Linked DNA regions of Nothobranchius furzeri. The protein of the gene in region 4 purifies or fractionates together with the protein of the main gene of each other region. This does not show direct contact. Links are inferred from orthologs where the notes say so. Each region holds a gene or a part of one and is shown on either strand. Other genes may lie near its edges.

Region 1 (4,188 bases), on a different chromosome or scaffold from region 4:
CAACAAACATTTATGACGAATGTTTTTTATAATTTAGAATGTTAATCTAGACTGTACATTTATAAAAAATATGAATAAATATGGCAAATAACAAATAAAAAAAATAATATCAGCCCTCTGGGGTCCTGGGTGTAAATCACCGTTTTTGACTCATTTTGGTTTGTCTTTTGTATTTTCTAACAAAAACAATAAATTTTGCCTTATGGGGTATCATTTTTTTCAGAACAACCTGGACTATCTGAATTTATACTTATTTTATTAATTTGGCAATAATGTGCATGCATTTTGGAGTGGGGAGTGGCTCTGTCTCACGCCGCGGAGATCGAGATCTGACAGCTGCGCGGCGCCGCCCACTCCTCTTGTTGGATCTCCGAGGAGCTGGATCTCTGCCTTCATCCTCTACCTCATCATGACCCAACTCTTCTATGAGGAAGGATGGATCTGCCACATCGTCATCAACATCCTCGCTATTTGCTTCAGACTCCGGCTGCGAGTCTCCGTCCACTTCCTCTGCTTCCAGTTCAAAAAACAGCCGAACTGCCTGGTGGACATTTATCCTTCTCACCATCCTTTATATAAGCCTAATAAAAGCCTACTAAACTGCAGAGACAACATATCTGTCCGGATCGCTCCAAAATATGAAGTTTACCATCAATATCTGTCTAACTGTTTGTTGTTACTCCGTTCGCGCCACTCCGTTCCCCGCCAAGCGGCTCCTTTTTGCGCACATCTCGTTACTCGTGCGGCCTTCCTCTCTCTCTCAGCTACATGATGATACTTTTTATCAGTTGAATATGTGAGACTTCCAGCAACAGCAAAAGGATCTCATGTTTTTGTGGGTTTTTTATGTTCACAAGCACATTCCCTCTCACGGATTACTAAACTGCTGTTTGACAAGTTATCAGATTGTCTAAAAAAAGGTCATTTTTTAGTTTAGTTTAACTCCGCTTTTACGTTGCTTATTAACACAATTTAAAAACTGGGGTGTAGTTTATAATCTCCTTTTTAAAGCTGAATTGAAACGGAAACTCAGGGAGGCGGAGTCTTGCTGCTACAGCGTCCCAAATCAGACCTGTTCAAAAGACGCGGATAAGCGTCCACGGACCCCAGAGGGTTGAAGACAAATGAGTCAAAACTTCAAAGCAGCCCTAAGAACTGGGATTGTGGAAGTGTCCACACACCTGAAGCTCCTTGACTCTGTGGATCAGGGGGTCATATGCAAGCGACACCTCTGCAGCAGCTTTATCCAAAGCCTCCAGGTAGGCGTGTTTCTTCCTGGCCAGTATTCCCTCCAGCACAAGAAAAAACTGATCCACTTCCTGTTTGTCCTGCCTCACTAGAGCCTCACAGCGGGCTTTGTCCTGCTCCAGCTGCTCTGCCAGGTCACACACCTAACCAACAGCCACAAGACGTTAGACGTATTAATCAAAACAAAAACGGCACAGAATTCCTGCTCCCAAACCCCGACGCCCACCTGCGCCCATCTCTGCTCCGAAAGTCTGGCGAGCAGCAGCGATGGAGTCTGTTTTTCTTTGATGAAGGCGGCCTGAAGGTCATCTATGGGATGTCCCTGATGCTGCCCGACGGTCAGACACAGACCACAGATCAGCTGCCGATCCTGGATGCAGTACATGTTCAGAGGTTGTCTGTGGTGCTCCTGGCAGGACGGGGGTCGAGGCGCATTGTTCGTCTGGTACTGAAAGTAAAAAGAAACAAGCCCGTCAGAAGGATTTCAGACAAACGGGAACAGACGGGCCAGCCTCTCCTACTTTCTCAATGATGGCCCGCAGGGACACATTGGTGGGCAGAGCATCTACACCCATCGGGGGCAGCTCCACCACGCTGCAACAGTTGGGACACTTTATAGGCAGGCGGAGGGGACGCCAGGTGGAATAGTTGGTGGACACCTGCAGCAGGCTGTCCAGGCAGGTCTTGCAGAAGGTGTGAGAACACGGCAGGACCCGCGGGTCGCAGAACAGAGAGTAGCACACAGAGCACGTCAGGTCCTCCTCAAGGGTCTCCATGACGGATCTAGAGGACTCTGGTGGAACAAAGTCTGTCACTTCTGCAGGATGGTTCCTGTTGGACAAAAATTATAATAATTCACAACAGATAACAAGCTTTATTTGGAATTTACCTAAAGATCTGACTGATTAATGCTCAAAGAATAAAACAAATACCTGAAGGAAACACTACGTGATGTTTCTCATGTCTCATTATTGTTAGTGCTGCTCACACTGGATCAGGATCTTATTACTTATTACAATGACCACCCCCTCTCCTCGTTACACACACACACACACACACACACACACACACACACACACACACACACACACACACACACACACACACACACACACACACACACACACACACACACACACACACACACACACACACACACCAGAGCCCAGAGCCAACAGTGGTGTCTCGGATCAAACCATTACCTGTGGCCTGTGGGATGAGTTTAAAGTGTCCAGATAGTTTGTGCTTCCTTTTTTCTTTCTTTTAGCCCAAAACTGGCACTCTCACGCGGCGGGGAGGCTTAAAGACTACTTTAAAAGCAACATTCGTAAATTTGATCAACTATTGCGATACACAGTCTTTTTCTCGTGAGGTGACACGACGCAAATCACCTTAAAATCCGTCTTCCCGAAGTTTTTAGACTCACCGCGGTTCTGCTCGGCCGTGTAGCGTTTGTCCCAAACAGCTTTCATTTCCCCTGATGGTGCTGCCTTCAGGTGCATCCAGTAAAGTCCAGCAACACGAGCTTAAACAGGAAATAAAACGTCTCACCTCATTTCTGGTAAAGCTGTCTAGTACTTTATTAGTTTTTGGGACCAGAATAGTTTAAGATGCAACTTCTCTTGCCACCGTAAGATTTTACTTTTGGAAAAAAAAGTCTTCCATTGTAAAATGTGGAAGTTTTAGTTTTCCGGTAGTTCCTAACGCACAGTTTCTCGTTCTGCTTGTGCGCATGCGCTCGATCTGTTGCTCAGGCCAATCAGGTCGCGTCGTTTTCCAGTTTAAATTCAGGCCCAACAATTAGGAGAAAGGGAGGCGTCAGGAGGAAAATGCACTAGAGGATTAATTATACTTCATTTCACAACAGAACTGTCTCTCTCACTCACTCTCTCTCCCACACACACACACACTTTTGGGTTTGTGTTTCACTATTTATTTTTCTTAAAGACAACTTAGCCGGTAGCCAACATCCCCTGAAAGGTTTTATAGGCTTTTTCTATTCCTTCCAGGTCATAATTTTTGATTTGAAACCACTTTGCTAACAAGGAATGCTGCAAAAAAATAAAATAAAACAAAAAAGTACCCCTATGTTCAACAAAAGGTTTTGAGCACAATGTGTAATCATCACTAGTGTTTGAAGTGAACAGAAAAATAAACATGAGGGTAAGCTTGTACACTTAGCTTGTAGGAGCAAAAAAGGGCTAAAGACTCTGCAAGGTACTACAATTACAGCAAACCTGTTCATGGGTTTATTTACGATTCAGGAAACCCCCATTAGAACATCTCCAGTCTGACGCATGGGACACCTTTGACCGTGAACAGGGAGGTTAAATCCCCTTCCAGTGAAGCTGAGATACATTAGATTCACTACCGCTGCTCCTGAAATAAACTCATTATTGTCTCGAGTATCACTAAATGTTATCATTGGATCATTCCAGAAAACACAGACTGTGGCTGAGTGATGCTTAAATGTAAGGGTGTCTGGGCAGGTCAAAACATATTAAACCCACCAGCAGCAACACCTTCAGAAAGACTTCAGGCCTCACTTTGCAATACATGTGCAAAACAATAATTATTTAGCAAACCGGACAACAGTGAGGAGTCAGGGAAAGGGAAACATGTAACATTTAAGCACAGCTTTACTTAAAATAAAAAAATTACACTGTATTCACAGCCTAAGGGAACTAAAATACCCTAAAAAATAACTGTGCTGTTGTTTAGTACATGCAAAGGGGAGGATTCACAATTCTACGCAGGATGGCCGTGGTTTTCCTCTCCTGTGGTTATGAAAGCTGCTGCAGCCGTACTGCAAAAGCAGTGGTGTTGCTGTAAAGGCTGAGGAACGTGGTTTTGTGAGAGGAACGGGTCATTTGGTTGACTGGTGATGGAGGGGGGGGGGGGGGGGGGTCAAACTTTCACAGCATCAAGCCCATGTCAGGT
Region 2 (4,096 bases), on a different chromosome or scaffold from region 4:
AATTTATTCTTCTCTATCTTGCAAATACATATTTGTGTGGCAATGTCATGCACAACACACACAACTATTAGATCCTTAAGATCAAACCCGTGTCATTCTTTTGGTCCACTGCAGTGCAGCAGTCAAAAAAAAAAAGAAAAAAAAAAAAGAATAAGTGAAGTGGCCACAAATGGCCAGGATAGAGCCCAGAGTGCTAATGTTTAAAATGTATACAAATATTATTGATTTCAATTCTTTACTGTTAATATCAACAATAAGCTTTTTATTTTGAAATTACAAGTATAAAAAAAATGCTGTTACATTTACATTTAATGCTGTTACTCTGTAATCCTTTCTTAAAAGTATGAACATAGAATCAAGTGAACAACATTTTGAAATAAGTTTAATTGGAATTTTGTACTATACAAAAACAAAACAAAAACAACAACAATGACATATTAAACAAACAAACAAACAAACACAGTCAGTGCCTTCATTTGTCCATTACATGTCAAACATAGTAGCACTGACCCTTAGTCCCTGCTCATCAGCAAGTGCTTTCAAAAAGAGCTCCATGTCCTCTGCAAACTGAAAAACAAACAGGAACATGTCCCTTGCTCCAGTGTCGTCTTCCTCTGACATGTCTCTTAAGACCCTCTGCTGGTCCCCTTGATTTAAGGACAGATATTTTGGCATTGTTTTGGACAACCCACTGCACAGCAGGACGCAGATATTCAACAACTGCTGGCTCCTGTGTCAGGTAAATGGGGATAAAAACACAGCTATTTCTCTGTTGCAGAACAGTTTTTTTAACTTCGTCTTCGTCTTCGTCTTCCTCCGCTTATCCGGGTCCGGGTCGCGGGGGCAGCATCCCAACTAGGGAGCTCCAGACCGTCCTCTCCCCGGCCTTGTCCACCAGCTCCTCCGGCAGGACCCCAAGGCGTTCCCGGACCAGATTGGAGATGTAACCTCTCCAACGTGTCCTGGGTCGACCCGGGGGCCTTCTGCCGGCAGGACATGCCCGAAACACCTCCCCAGGGAGGCGTCCAGGAGGCATCCTGACCAGATGCCCAAACCACCTCAACTGGCTCCTTTCGATCCGGAGGAGCAGCGGTTCTACTCCGAGTCCCTCCTGAATGTCCGAGCTCCTCACCCTATCTCTAAGGCTGAGCCCGGCCACCCTACGGAGGAAACTCATTTCGGCCGCTTGTATCTGCGATCTCGTTCTTTCGGTCATTACCCAAAGCTCATGACCATAGGTGAGGATTGGGACGTAGATCGACCGGTAAATCGAGAGCCTGGCTTTCTGGCTCAGCTCCCTCTTCCCCACGACAGATCGGCTCAGCGTCCGCATCACTGCAGACGCTGCAGTTTTTTAACAGTTATTCAAATGTCACTAACCATGTAATTACACTACTGTTTAAAGTGAATACTGACCTGACTGACTTCCTGGAACTTGCGCTTTTTCAGTCTGAAAATGGGCACGTGTTGTCCTTCAAGCACAGCTTTGGCTTCCTCTCTCCAGCTTGCCAGAGCTTAACAGAAAATGTTGATATTGTTAAGGTGTGTAAACTTTGACACAACATAGAACAGAAGTCAAAATATAAATACCTCCTGAGATCAAAGTTCTCCATCAACAGCAAGCACCACCATTTACGCAAGTAGGGCATGTCTGACTAAAATATTAATATGAAACATATTTAACAACTTTCAAAAGATTCAAGACTCCATTGCTGTGAAAGTAAATAGAATACTTACTATAGTATAGTCAAATGGTGCATCCAGTGCCACGTACAGAGCAGACTATTTGGAAGAAAAAATAAAAATGTAATTTTTTTAGAAGCTTAAATTAGCTTCTGTATGAATCTCAAGAAGAGAAGAGAAAAATTACCATCAGCATGAAGATCCCACAGTCAACTCCATAGTCTTGTCTTGGAAAACCCTGTATAACATTGAAAATAAAGGCTCATTAATAAAATCCCTTAAAAGAAGACTAGTGTAATTCATATTATTCACCATACACTTAAACTAGCACATACCTTCAAGTCAAAGCTCTTTTTTTCTGACCACTGCCCGGGAATGAGCTTCACTGCAAGATTCCTTTTTTTCAAGACAGTCACATTCACAAGTTAACAGACATCATCATGATGGGTGTTAAATGTTTATTGCTAATAGCACCAACTGTAACTACAGGCCTTAGGAACACGACCTCAACAAAACAGCATAACAAAATGAAAAAGTACAGTCACATGCTCACAGTTGGTCAAAATAAAGCATTTTCAGCTTTAATTTGAGGCTGGCATATTTTATAAACTAATATTTAATGGTGTTTTATGTTAAACTAAAACGTTTGAAGACCCTATTTATGTCTGAAACTCATCTAAAGACAGCATCACTGACTTGATCAGAAAGTGAAGATGAGAAATAGAATAAAATGTTGAAGCATCGTGCTGATATAGTTTATAAAAAAGCATGTGAGTGTACTGTATGTGTGAAGAATCAAGATCAGCAGAACATGATCATGCACTTAACCTGGGACACTGAACAGGTTCCTGAAAATTCTGGAACAAACCAAAAATGCTTATAAAAATGTGACCTCAAAAGTGAAACATATTGTTGGCCACCAAATCCTGCCTTTGTGTATAATGGGTCAAGAAAGAGGATTTCTCTTTTAGGTGGCTTCAGTACCTAAAAGACAGTTAGCCATGACTTCAAACCTGAAAACGATGTCATTGCAAGCGATCACAATCAAAGACTTTTGAAACTGCGTCATAAAAGCTTGAATACATCTCAGACGCATAGCAACATTCTAACAGTTTGTATGTGTCAAAAAACAAGACTTACACACAACTGGAAATGAGCAGGTGTCCAGAGAGGGAGAACTATGATGTCCATCCTCGTTTTAAAGCAATCTTCAGATGAGTATATTTTATTTTTGTGATCCTCACCTGCAGATTTTCTCTTAAAAAAAGGCAGAGTTCAAGAGACAAAACAACGTGGTTGTCCAAGTTGTGAAGCCCATCTGTCCACTCCTGGTATCTGCAGACCATGTGACACTGAGGACACAATCTATGGTGTGTTGAAACATCTGTTAAAGACAAATCACATCAATGTCAAAACATTAGTATAGGAACAATAATAACCAATTATTTCACACTGATGTTTAATCATATTCATTAAAACTTACTCTCAATCACTCCCATCATGCTGACAATCCTCACTTTAATGGTGATTAGAACAGCCTCATCAAGTTTGGGTGCTCTGGGCACACCTGGCACAACGTTTCACATGGAAAGAGCTGTTTCTGATGATCCATTTTCTGGAAGAGATACAGGAATTTTTTTCTCTTTAAAAATATAGCGTATACTCCTTTCAACGGCAGCATTGTCCTCAAAGGAAGAACTCCCCTGAGTCATCTGTGATGGGGTGCCTGATGATAGTGGTACAGTTGATTTGAAGATGTCTCTCTGTGTCTGGAAGAGATGCCATTTAGCTATGTTTTTATGAGGACACGATATTCGTGGCTTTGCACAAGCGCAATGCCAGGTGTTCCTCAGAGCATTGTAAGTCACAAATATTCTGCCAAGATGGCAGAAACTGTGTATTTCCGGCTCAAATACAGACAAACAGATCTGTGTTGAGGATCCACCAAAATCCACCCTCACACAAAGTGGAGCATGTGCCATCTGGGCAGCTTTCTGACTCTTTATGCATGTAGCAGCTTTGGCCTCTCCAAAACATTTAAGGTCCACCATTTCCATCACGATGTGCTCTTGATGAAAAACCTCCTTCACAGTTTCTCGGCAGTAATCTAGTGAGCGAAGGTGCTAATATAAACTGAAGCCTAGTCCGCTCCGCTGGGCCAGCAACTGGTATTGCTGACATTCCTCCAGCTCACATCTGATATTGTGAGACATCCCCATGTTTTCCTCTGAACGTGAACTGGCACAGAAAATCCATGGCCAGTTCTCTGCACAGCAAATAACCCTGTAGTTTCATCTACACAAACACACTGCAGATGACTGGCCAGGCAAACATCTATTGACTGGTTGGAGTGCTTCCTCATCATGTGAGCCTTGTAGTTTTTGGTACGAAGAGTAAGGCCACAGTGAGGGCA
Region 3 (3,514 bases), on a different chromosome or scaffold from region 4:
ACTTCATGTCCATGGTGTGGCGGCTGAGGAACGTCTTGGTGTCCAGAGGGACCTCGATGTTGGAAGGGTGGGGGATGGGGTCACAGATCAGAACCAGGTAGGGGAGCAGTGGCTCCATCTGCTCTGCTCGATGGTCATGAACACACATGTGACCCGAGCAGTGAAGGACCTACAGAAACACGTTTTCAAACCAAGAGGGAAACTTTAATCTTTCTGTAATTATTATTTTTTACTTTAAGTAACTTTTTTAATTTAGGAGCCCGAGATGCTCCACAGCTTCAACACTTCTTTACCTTCCATGTAGCCGACTTGACATTAACCGTGCGACCTCTGCTTGTGAGGGTGCATTTCATCCTCAGAAAGAAATTCCGTTCATTATTTGGTTCCTTGCTTTTTTTGGAGCCTGGAATCACAAAATTAAACAGATATGAATCCAGAGTGAGGCAGAGTAAGCCAGCAGTAGATTGCTCTTTTTTATTGGTCCCAACTCAACAATCTACAAACTGCCAACTGATAAAATTTGCATCAAAAGGAGACATTTGCTCTGATGCTGTGGCCTTGTGGTGAGCTAGAGGATAAAATGGAAATAGCTACCAGCAGTTAGAGCCGAGGCGGTATCAGTGAGCAAAGAAATAACAAAAAACACAGGTCCTAAATGTAAGAGTGAACCGAAGCAGAGAGAAGATTCAGCAAAACTTATCTCACTAACGAGAAGCAAAGCAAAGATCTGTTATTGATGATTAAAAGGTCGGAAGATTACTCAGCCACTGCTCAAAACCGGAGTGGATTTTTGTGTCGTTACTAAGCAGAGCTGACCACAGAGTGAGTTGGACTTTCTACCATCTGGAGCACCAACACACCCGACAGAGAGCTCTGTGTGTGCGCGTCTCGGTTTCTCTACACATTTGTACTCTTCAGTGCAACACTGCTCACCTGTTCTACAGAGGAGCATCTCTCTCAGCTCCTCCTGGTCGCAGGGATGTGTGAAGTCAAACACACTGTGGCCAGTCAGGTCAAACTGCAAAGGCAAACAAACAGAAATATACTTTTAAAACACAAATATATAAATAGAGCTACCAAGAAGTATTCATTTAAAGCTTAAAAATGTGCACTTATTTTTTAATTCCCTGCTTCAGACCCACCTGCGCCAGCCCAAGACACTTGCTGACATTCTCCGAGAGATAAATCATATCGCCGTCTTCAGACAGCACCATGAGGAAGCCCTCCAACGCCTTCAGGTAGGACCCGTTCAGCTGAACATCAAGCTCAGTTTCCCCCTCTTCCATTGGCTTATCTGGAGCATTGAGAGAGGGAGCAAGGTGGGTGATAAGCTAAAGGACAAATAACCGGTTCAAACAGCTGCAGACACAGAAAAACCACTCCTCTAGCCCCAGGTGTTTCTGCAGAGAGATTATGGCAGAATACGCAGTACCTCCTTTGTGTTTTCCACTATAGGCTACATGTAAATGAAGTGAATTACTCTGAAGTCAACAAGATAACAAATATGACAAGCATACTGCAGGTACATGGTTAACAGAGCAGTGGAATGGTTTATAATCATCTGTCGCTACAGATGCTGACCACTGCAGAGAAGGTTCCTCATGCGCAGGTAGCTGATGGTCAGCCTCATGATGGAGGCCTTGTCCAGGCTTGAGCTGGTGCTGTGGGGGAGAGGCAGCTGCTTGGCCAGCTCATAGAACACCTCCGACTCCTTCCCACGGCGGCATCTTGCTGCATCCCTTGATTTCTCCTTCCTGCGCTCCGAGCTCACCCTGCAGGAGACAGGAGGTGGATCAGCCTCATGCTGGGTTTGTTAAACGTAAAAATCCCTTTTCCCAAAACTGAAACATGTCTGCAGAGGCCAGCGCAGCTGGAGCATTCAACAGGCTGTCTCAGCCCAGCCAGTGCAATGCAAGCGTCCTATTGGCTGCTGAACAAACGAAATAGGACTCGCCCACTCAAATGACTACACAGGAAAGAGTCAGAGCTCAGCCATCCCCCCACCCCCATCCCACACACTGATTCAGACATTTTACAGTGCCATTTCGGCTAATGTGACCACCGCTGAATCAAAGCAGGGCTATTGATTCTTCAAGTGACTGAAATCACTACACTATAAAAACTTAATGAGACAAAATTGTTAGATTCAAGGTAAGAACAAGAAGGGGTGCATCAAATGGCCGCTTTCATTCAAAAAATGGTTGTGGGTTTAATATTATTTTGAATGATGTTTGCTGTTGTCTTGATTCAGAATCAAAAACAAAAGAAAAACAGACGATATTTGGAGAAGGAAGGCCTTTTGACACAACACTGGTCTCGCTCGGCGGCCATGTTTAAAATGTTCACTTGTTCACTCTTTTTATTGCTCATTGTCAATGGCGTGTCCAGTGAGTGGTCTGGAGCAGCATTTGCCACTCTTGGAATCTGACTGGCCACCCCAATGAGTTCCACTTAAATTGACATTAAGTTGTCCACAAAAAAATAAGGGTTAACCCCTAAAACAGTAGTCGACAGTATGGACTTTTAACATTAGTTTCTAGTCACAGGCCTACAGAACATTTGTGTATTATTAATTATTGTTTTCATATTGACAAAAATAGTATTCATAGTCCTGGTCCAAACTCACTCCAGTAGATGGCGGTAATGCACCAAGAAGTGGCTTGCTAACCACCTCAAAACAAGAAGTTGAAGAATAATGCAAAAATGTATTATTTTGTGAGGGGTGACAACCCCGCAGATCAAAACAAAAAGTATAACTATAGGTGCCACCCATGCATAAATTAGTGCCCCACTGGAGCCACCCATTTTAAAAGGCCTGGACACGCCACTGCAAATTGTGCCTCCATTATGTGCTTATAAAAAAATTTTTTTAAAGTCTGTGCTGTACTTCCTGTTCCACCTTATGTTGCTCAACATTGCGGTAAATAAACATAAACAAAATCGATTTAGAAAAACCGCGATGCCTCAAAAAACAGATTTCATCTCCCATTCATATGCCATAAATTTATATCACCAATCTTTGTTGCAAACTGCACCTCAGTAAGTTGAAATACATTTAGATGACATGTGAGCAGCCAGACGACCAAATGAACAGCTTAAAAACCCACAGCTATGAAATGCACACCTGATTGAAATTGATCTGGCACGCACTTACAGCACTGAATAAGGCCCTTTTGTTTTTGCCAGAAAATAGACCAGATAATGTAATTTGCAGGAGGCTAATTTTAGTTAACAGGCAGGCTGTGTTTCACACGAAAGCTTTCCATTACACACACGTGATGCACAAACCGATCCACGATAAAGCTAATTGGTCCTCTGCGGCTGGAAGATTTTCAATGCTGAGCCGAATCACCGTCCCTCGGGAAATAGGCTAGGTGCTGATTTAATCTAGCGAAAAGCATGTGGGTCAAAATTTCTATTCGGTGACATGAACACACAAACAGAAAAACACTCAGTGTTGCTGCTATTAAGTTCCATTTACAATTGGGAAGCTACAAAGTTATGCCAACGTAAA
Region 4 (4,052 bases):
AACGCTAGACTTCCGCCAAGAAATACAGGACGTCCTGAACAGCTGTCAGCTCTCGAAGTAGAGAGAAGTTAATAATCTCAACCAATGTTTTTTGTATAAAGGCTTACTAGAAACAATGAAGAAAAAAACACACTTCCTTTCCTCAGCTGTCAGCGACAGAGCACATGGATCAGAAACTACAGAACCATTCCTGTCTTTAATGATTAACTTCACATTGCATTTCTTAGAATTATAATGCAACTTCAGATCAGATCTTTCATTTACCTTGTTACACAAGGCTTTTATCTGACCAAAATGAGGTTGCATGGGTCCCTGGAGGATTACTGTCTTCTGCACACCGACAAAAAAGGTATTCAGTGAATCCAGCAGAGCCGTCTTCCCTGTCATGGAAATTAAATACCAAAGCAAAGCTTTTGTTTAATGCTTACATTACAAGGATAATGTTACGGTATCACCTAAACTCTGGTGAAGCACACAATCTTAACTTGTACAATGAGCTTGGCAGTATTTGTATACACAAGCTAAAGCAGAGCTAGTGTAACAGCCCTTCTGTTTGGTTTCATGATGCGATCCACTAAATAAAACAGCCGTAAGTGTTGATAAAATTGTAAACGATAAAACTTGGGACTTAATATTCTGTCAAAATCTTTCATGATTCAGCATATTTAAAAGAAACAGAAACATTTAATAATTTATTCCATTCAAAACACCCAAAACATCAGCATTATGTAGGTCTTATCTGACAGCACACACGATTAATAGTTTCATCGTAAATCTGTGTACATTAGGCCACGTGACTTGGAATATGAAGGGAGGCTATTCTACATTTAGGCGTGACTCCTTTGTAAAAGCTAAAAAGAATAAGGTCAGCGATATCAGCATCACCCTGCGATGGACTGGCTCTCTGTCCAGGGTGTACCCCGCCTGATTGCTCATTGACACCCCCCCCCCCCCCCCCCCCCCCCCCCCCCCCCCCCCGAGACCATATGTGGACAAAGCGGGTTCAGACAATGGATGGATGGATGGATATCAGCATCACCTGTTTCTGCCAAATTTAAAGGTCAATGGAAAAACAGTGTTTCATAAGCTTTCATTTTATCCTTTAATACGCTGAAATTCAAACATGTTTTGATACAGTAGTTAATACGCTGTAATAAAATAAGAACTGAGCTAAAAAGGTGTTTTTTAAGCATTTGTGTCACCTTATATAAGTTCACATCACACATGCTCCTCTTTCACTGGTATATGAAAATGATGCTAACACATGGTGAGAATTGCTGAGGAAGTGAAACCCCAACAAACGTGACATCACAAGAGGATTGCCCATGGTCAAATCAATGGTACTGCTTTATTTAGAAAATTTTGAACAAACGCCCTACCTTCTTACCTGCTATCCAAAAAGAATAAATGCTACTGGAGTTATCTCTCTCATGTTTTTGATGATTTAATTATGTTTGGGGAGGGTCCTGGCTGTATAATCAATTATTCAGTGTCTACAGTCACAGAGGAGACACAGTAGTGCTTGATTATTTACTTCTTTTGTTTAGCTAAGAAGGTAAAAACAGCCAAAATTTTCTGTAAACTGATGCACTGGTGAGTCCCAGGACTGTGCCCTTTGTTTGGTGGATATTTTACAAAGACCTTTTGCTGAGGTCACACACATTTCACATGATACATGATAGGAACCTTTTGAAGATGCTCATGTTACACAAAGCTACACACAGACAATGATTTGGCCTAATTTTGTCAGTATCCCATCATATGAGTATTTTCACACTCCAGACGGGCAGAGTAGGACTTCAATATTCAACATGACTCATAAAAAAAAAATTCTAATCTTGTTAGGTGTGTTTTGTCAGTGAGCATTTACCACTTACGGTAATGCACAATGAGATTCCTTAAAACAGACAAGCCACATTCCAGGAAGTAGAGCTCTCCACAAAAAAAAAAAAAGAAGCAATCATGCCAAGTTTGTCATTTTACTGACAGTTAACAGGCAGGACACTTGCGGGTTATTGGACACAATAATAATGATGATCATAATGGGTTTTCTTTTTCAGTTGTAACATCATCAAACTAAAATAGTAAGTGTCATTAGTCAATACTACACTTTTCTTTTCTTTTAATTTTGAAAGTGATCATGGATCTGATCCTGTTATGCAGCTCTGCACATGATGGGGTGAAGATGAGCGTGACAACAACGACGGCTTATAACAAACACTGGCCTGGAATTTTATGGGGTCATATTCATATCCTGGAAGATGCTCTTTCTCTCTTTTACTGTTTTTTTAATTTTTTTTTGTTTTGTTTTACCAACAGATCGAAATTACTGATAAATTGAGCCAAAACACATTATTGAAAGTAAACAACAACAACAAAAGAAAAAAAAACAACTATTCAAGACTGAACGTCTTAGCTGTAATATTTTATATCGGAAATAATTAATTAAAAGCAGTAAGGCAATAATAACTTTGCTATATGCCATAGCGGAACACAATGTTTCTGCACACAGAATAACTTATGACCAGCACAAATAGGCGTTTAGCAGCGTTCAGCTGGCCAAGCCTTTTATATCATGGCCATTAGTAAATATAAACTGATAACGGGTTTACATAAAAAAAACATTCACAAATAAAGATGGAGTAAGTTAGTTTGAATGCAGTCGCTTACCCGAGTCGTTGTCACGTCTTTGGAAAGATTCTCCGACAAAAACCCGAAAACTGTTAACTAAAAGTACACTGAAGGCAACACTTAATTTCTTCTAAAACGGTAAACCCACATAAACGAGAGAAAACACTCACAAAAGATGCCAACCTTTACTCTTCCCTTAACAACACGAGAAACACTTCTTCAACCCTAGAGCCAGTAGCCCAACCCATCAGCCGCTCTGCAAGTCTTTTCAGCCAATCAAACGCGCTTCTGTTGTTGATTGACATTCCAAGTGGCAAATAGCAATATAGAAATTTCTGTTAACCAAATCAGAGCAGATGTGTGACGAAAAGATGCGCGGCGTAACAGCATGTTTGGTTGAGTGCTATGTTTACTGCTGTCGCAACTGGGCTGTTCCTCTTAGTCCTCCCTCCTCGGGGTTTTCCGTTCAAAGAACAGCATGTTCGGCTGTTACGGAGGGAGGAAAGGCGTTTGAAAAGAAGAGCCAGCCTGGAAGTCATCTGAGTTACTGGCAATGCTGACGTCACCGAGTCTAATAACACATCTGCAGTTTAGTGTTAATCCTAACGGGACAAAAATAATTAATACAAGTGTCCAAACGTAATCAAACTAAGTTTATTTAAAATAATATTTATAAATGACACACGTGTGGATAAATGGATTTATAGATAGATAAAACAGTCAACAAACCTTAAACTGGTGGATTATGTAATAAGCGTTTATTAATATTGAACCTGTTTGGCCAAAACACCTTGAGTCTGGCAGGTACAGTCAGTGACATCAAGGCCATACGCCACTTACAGATGCAACAGTGAAAAGAAAAGAAAACTGAATTACACCGCTGCAAAAACACATTTAGGTAATGGGAGATCGTTTATATATCTGTCAAAAATCAACACAAAGATAAAGCTATAAAATAAAAATGATAATCTTACAAGCATATAATTTATTTTTATGTAAAGATAACAATTCCCCTTGGTGTGTTGTAATAGTTTGCATAGACTTGTAACACGATCACACGCATGCTTTCTTTTGTCTTTCTCACTGCTTAGCTTTCACAGAGAGAGAGAGAGAGAGAGAGAGAGAGAGAGAGAGAGAGAGAGAGAGAGAGAGTAAACACTTTCCTTAATTGCATTTCCCCATCCATTGATTATTTGGGTGGTGTTTCCTCTGCCACAATGCTTCTGGGTGCCTGCAAACACATCAAGGTCATAGAAGTCTGCAGGGAGGAAGAAACAGAAGCACTCCTCTTGTTTCTGTCTGGAGCCTTGCACGGTTTCCTCTCATGATCTAATGTGACAAAGGTTGAACGCTGCCACAGGCAGTTGACTTCACATTCAGAATAGATTACCGTAAGAGATGTATCCTCCCATTATGTTTTG
Region 5 (3,514 bases), on a different chromosome or scaffold from region 4:
TCATTCATTTAAATGTTTGCTGAACCCTGAAGGACAACAATATTATAATTTTCTTCAAAGGAACATAAAGAAAAAAGTATTACAGCCCCAAATTACAATGTTGGACCGGAGGATTGTTTGTATTTGAAGCATCCCTCTGTCCCTCAAAAACCCACAACAAACCAGGAGATAATTACAGCACGGCTGAAAAAAACTAAATAAAATCAGAAATCACAAACTTCATTCTCACATACATGTGGTCTCAGTTTTAATAAACGCCGACTCCAGGAAGCCTAAATGCCTTCCCCTCCTGTCGGCTCAGGGGTCCTCTGAACTAAAAGGAATGAATATAAGTGAACGGGACTATATAAGGTATTTTTGGTCCGCTTTGCCTTCCTATGTGTATTTTCTGGCTTTCAGTTATTTTCTTCACTTTACAATCCCAGAAGGTACAAATCAGATATGCTAACAAAAACACCATGACTGGTTCCAAATCAGTAAGGAATTCTCTCTCTTTTCCTCCTCTGAGGCTGCATGTAAACATCGCAGCTCTCTGTCTAAAGCCAAAAGAACCAGAAACATTGCCCCAGTCATTGGTTTCAGTGTGTGTGTTAGCATGATCACTGCAATGAAACACAGTAAAGATGGACCAGACAGAAACTCCATCTGACACTTTAAAGCAAGGGTCCTCAACTACATGTGTTCAAGTGCCAGATGCTCTTCCTAAATACAGTTCAAGTATTATTGTATCCTAATTTGTTAATATTTAAAATTTGTTTTCCATCTAAACTGCTTTGATTGTATTTTTGTGTTTGGAGAACGTAAACCATTATTGATATTTGGGACATGAATTTTGCTGCTAAACTTCAAAAGAAAGAAACAAAACAATTGTTTATAAAGCACCTCAAGATAAAAATCATGAAGCACTTCACAAAAACAAAAAAATGAAAATGAAATGAAAAGAAAGATAAAAAAAATGATTAAAAAAGTCCCCCAATTGGGGGGCATTAGGGCCCAAAGGGCTAGGGGGAGAGGTGTGATGGACCAGATGTGGCCCGCTGGCCACCAGTTGAGGTTCACTGCTTTAGAGTGTTTTGTTGACAGATTTGGGCAGATTTCGCACACACACAACAGAACATAGATAATTATTCAGTCTGGAACCCAGAAACAACATCTGTGGCGTGTCAACATCTGCTGCTGGTCCTCCGTGAAATCACAACCATCACAACAGACTGCTGTAGCCAAGTCCAAACAGCACATGCACGATTCCTCTTTTTATATATTACTGCATCATTATACTAAAGTAATGAAATGTAAGATTTAAAATACATTTTTGTTCTTTGCATCTCTCATTGAATTTTTGGATTCATGCCCAAGAAACCGCTTTTTTAACTTGAAAACAAATGAAGGAAAGAATTGTTTGATAGAATTTTAACAAAAATCGTGATTCAGATTTTATCAGAAGCCTCTTGCACCACACGGGCGAGTGTTTCAGCTCGATGTTTTTACTTTTGTCACTTTACTTTCTAAAAATCACCAAGCATTGCATAAAAATGCACATTCAAGTAGAATCATGGACATGAGCTCATACCTCTCCGACGTGGGGTCTGCACAGTTGAGTGGATACTTGAGCTCGATGACGTCTCCATTTTTCTCTTTCAGCTGCCCATGATGCTCCATGTAATACTGCACCAGCTCTGCAAGAGTGGCAAACTTCTCCCCACCGTAGAGGTCGTAGTAGTCCCCTGTATTTTGAATCTTAATGTGGGTGACAGCTCCATTTCGCCTAAACACAAGACCAAATAAGGGAACAGAATCAGACAGGTGTAAGAGCTCATCAGCAGAATCCAACAAGAAGTCTGCGGCTCATAAAAAATCCTGTCAGCGCAGATCGCTGTAGAAAAGTAATCCCTAAAATATTCCAACAGTCTAGTCCAGCTGCATCTTCAAAAACAACGATGAAAGAAATCACGTTTCTAGCAGATTAAAAGTCCACATGGTGTGTTTTTATAAGCCAAACTACTGAGCTTGAGCTAAATCAGTGGTCAACATTATGGCAGAATTGAAGATGAATGCGTGAACGTTTCAAAATCCCAAAAAAGCCAGTGTTTACAACTTTACAACCATAATGAACCAATTCCTTCTTACATGCTGAAACTAGACAAGATCTATTTAGCAATAGCAGCTAATTCTTAGAGAGTGTAATCCTGTGTTCCTGCAGAAATACGGAAATGTCTGAGCTGATTTCTGAGTTAGCAGAAACAACAGGCTAAAGCCGGGAAGGGTCATTTACACAATCATTAATATGGCATTGGGTTAAGATGTAGAGGTTCGTGAGCCGTTTAAAGCTACAGAGGGTTCATTCTCATCAAGAGGAAACTAGTAAATGTTACCAGACATGAAAAAGTCTTGTAATCAACACCAGGAGATAAAGTATAGCAGGGTAGAAATATGTGAGGGTTAAATAACTGTCACTAAAACATAATGCTGCAATTTCAATACCCCCTTATAAAGCAGAAAACCAGATATGAGCATTTATTATACAATAGCAGGAATATTCAGCTCTGTATCCCGAGTCCTTTCTGTGCAGAGTGTAACAGAATCAGATGTTGTCTCTACAGAATAACTCCACTGTTGTATGTCACTGATGAAGAATAGATCTGAAAGACAAAACTGTGTTTCATTTAGCTATTCAAACCAGACAGACAACCAACTACTGAGTCACACATGATCACCATTATCTCAGAAATAGAAAAGAAGAACTTGTGGCAGAGCTGGACCTGAGCAGATTTTAACGGCCTCACGGGGAATTCTGCAGTGAAGGAGATGTGCTGGTTAGAACCAGCAACAACTGGTTTCCCCATGGAAATGTCTGCTTTTGTCTCTGTGTGAAGTGCATACTGAGTACGACGGGAGACCGTACTGTTAGAATATGAAACTGCAGCAAAAATAACTTTGTCTACATCAGCCAAATTGACTTAATGACACTTCCTCTCACAAACGTATGACTCGACAGGCCCAGAGATAAAACCAGCTACTTTATTTTCATTAGTTACATTTTGGCTATCGCTTGGATAATGTTGGCGGTCTCGCTACATTCAAAACTACGAATCAAGCAGAATTGGATGCAAGTTATTTCCATTTTGGTGTAAAACACTCCCACAGCAACAGGCACGGTCAAAGTTTGACCTGATATAAACATTATTAAAGAGTCACTTATTTGCACATCCAGAACATACTGAGCAAGCCATCATTTCTTTCAAGTCATATTTGTGCTGGTGTAAGGCTAAGTCTGATGTTTGTTCTCTGAGTTGCTCTGCATCACATGCACATCAGAGGTCATCAGCCTGAACATCTGTCTGTTGCATCTGGACAAAAGACTAAAGCCTCATTTACACCAAGTGTGGAACAGATGCAGATCAGAACTAGAGGTCGACTAATATTAGCTCATCTATTGCCAATAGCGATGCCTATATGTAAAGGTCGTGGTCAGCCGATGGCCGATGTGCTGATGATTTTCATGGCTGATATCTGG

The links.
Region 1: the proteins of stat3 (region 4) and trim59 purify together in Homo sapiens (affinity purification with western blotting; 4 studies listed by BioGRID). This does not show direct contact. The link is inferred for Nothobranchius furzeri from reciprocal best matches to the Homo sapiens genes STAT3 and TRIM59.
Region 2: the proteins of stat3 (region 4) and hdac3 purify together in Homo sapiens (affinity purification with western blotting; 4 studies listed by BioGRID). This does not show direct contact. The link is inferred for Nothobranchius furzeri from reciprocal best matches to the Homo sapiens genes STAT3 and HDAC3.
Region 3: the proteins of stat3 (region 4) and hif1aa purify together in Homo sapiens (affinity purification with western blotting; 4 studies listed by BioGRID). This does not show direct contact. The link is inferred for Nothobranchius furzeri from reciprocal best matches to the Homo sapiens genes STAT3 and HIF1A.
Region 5: the proteins of stat3 (region 4) and ptpn11a purify together in Homo sapiens (affinity purification with western blotting; 3 studies listed by BioGRID). This does not show direct contact. The link is inferred for Nothobranchius furzeri from reciprocal best matches to the Homo sapiens genes STAT3 and PTPN11.

Annotation. Positions count from the first base shown.
Region 1 is NC_091753.1:52,625,752-52,629,939, forward strand, and holds the start of trim59 (tripartite motif-containing protein 59), read right to left. Parts: upstream 2,804-4,188; 5' UTR 2,675-2,803; intron 2,616-2,674; exon of another isoform or gene 2,451-2,615; intron 2,080-2,450; 5' UTR 2,025-2,079; coding exon 1,770-2,024; intron 1,697-1,769; coding exon 1,475-1,696; intron 1,392-1,474; coding exon 1,182-1,391; intron 1-1,181. UniProt on the Homo sapiens protein: E3 ubiquitin ligase involved in different processes such as development and immune response. Serves as a negative regulator for innate immune signaling pathways by suppressing RLR-induced activation of IRF3/7 and NF-kappa-B via interaction with adapter ECSIT.
Region 2 is NC_091741.1:31,103,491-31,107,586, reverse strand, and holds the start of hdac3 (histone deacetylase 3), read right to left. Parts: upstream 2,803-4,096; 5' UTR 2,019-2,802; intron 1,922-2,018; 5' UTR 1,871-1,921; intron 1,783-1,870; 5' UTR 1,738-1,782; intron 1,656-1,737; 5' UTR 1,591-1,655; intron 1,515-1,590; 5' UTR 1,417-1,514; intron 1-1,416. UniProt on the Homo sapiens protein: Histone deacetylase that catalyzes the deacetylation of lysine residues on the N-terminal part of the core histones (H2A, H2B, H3 and H4), and some other non-histone substrates.
Region 3 is NC_091758.1:31,049,931-31,053,444, forward strand, and holds part of hif1aa (hypoxia inducible factor 1 subunit alpha a), read right to left. Parts: intron 1,773-3,514; coding exon 1,582-1,772; intron 1,295-1,581; coding exon 1,143-1,294; intron 1,019-1,142; coding exon 934-1,018; intron 404-933; coding exon 294-403; intron 170-293; coding exon 1-169.
Region 4 is NC_091745.1:6,845,721-6,849,772, forward strand, and holds the start of stat3 (signal transducer and activator of transcription 3), read right to left. Parts: upstream 2,812-4,052; 5' UTR 2,671-2,811; intron 381-2,670; 5' UTR 265-380; intron 1-264. UniProt on the Homo sapiens protein: Signal transducer and transcription activator that mediates cellular responses to interleukins, KITLG/SCF, LEP and other growth factors. Once activated, recruits coactivators, such as NCOA1 or MED1, to the promoter region of the target gene.
Region 5 is NC_091746.1:40,337,710-40,341,223, forward strand, and holds part of ptpn11a (tyrosine-protein phosphatase non-receptor type 11), read right to left. Parts: intron 1,766-3,514; coding exon 1,571-1,765; intron 1-1,570. UniProt on the Homo sapiens protein: Acts downstream of various receptor and cytoplasmic protein tyrosine kinases to participate in the signal transduction from the cell surface to the nucleus. Positively regulates MAPK signal transduction pathway. Dephosphorylates GAB1, ARHGAP35 and EGFR.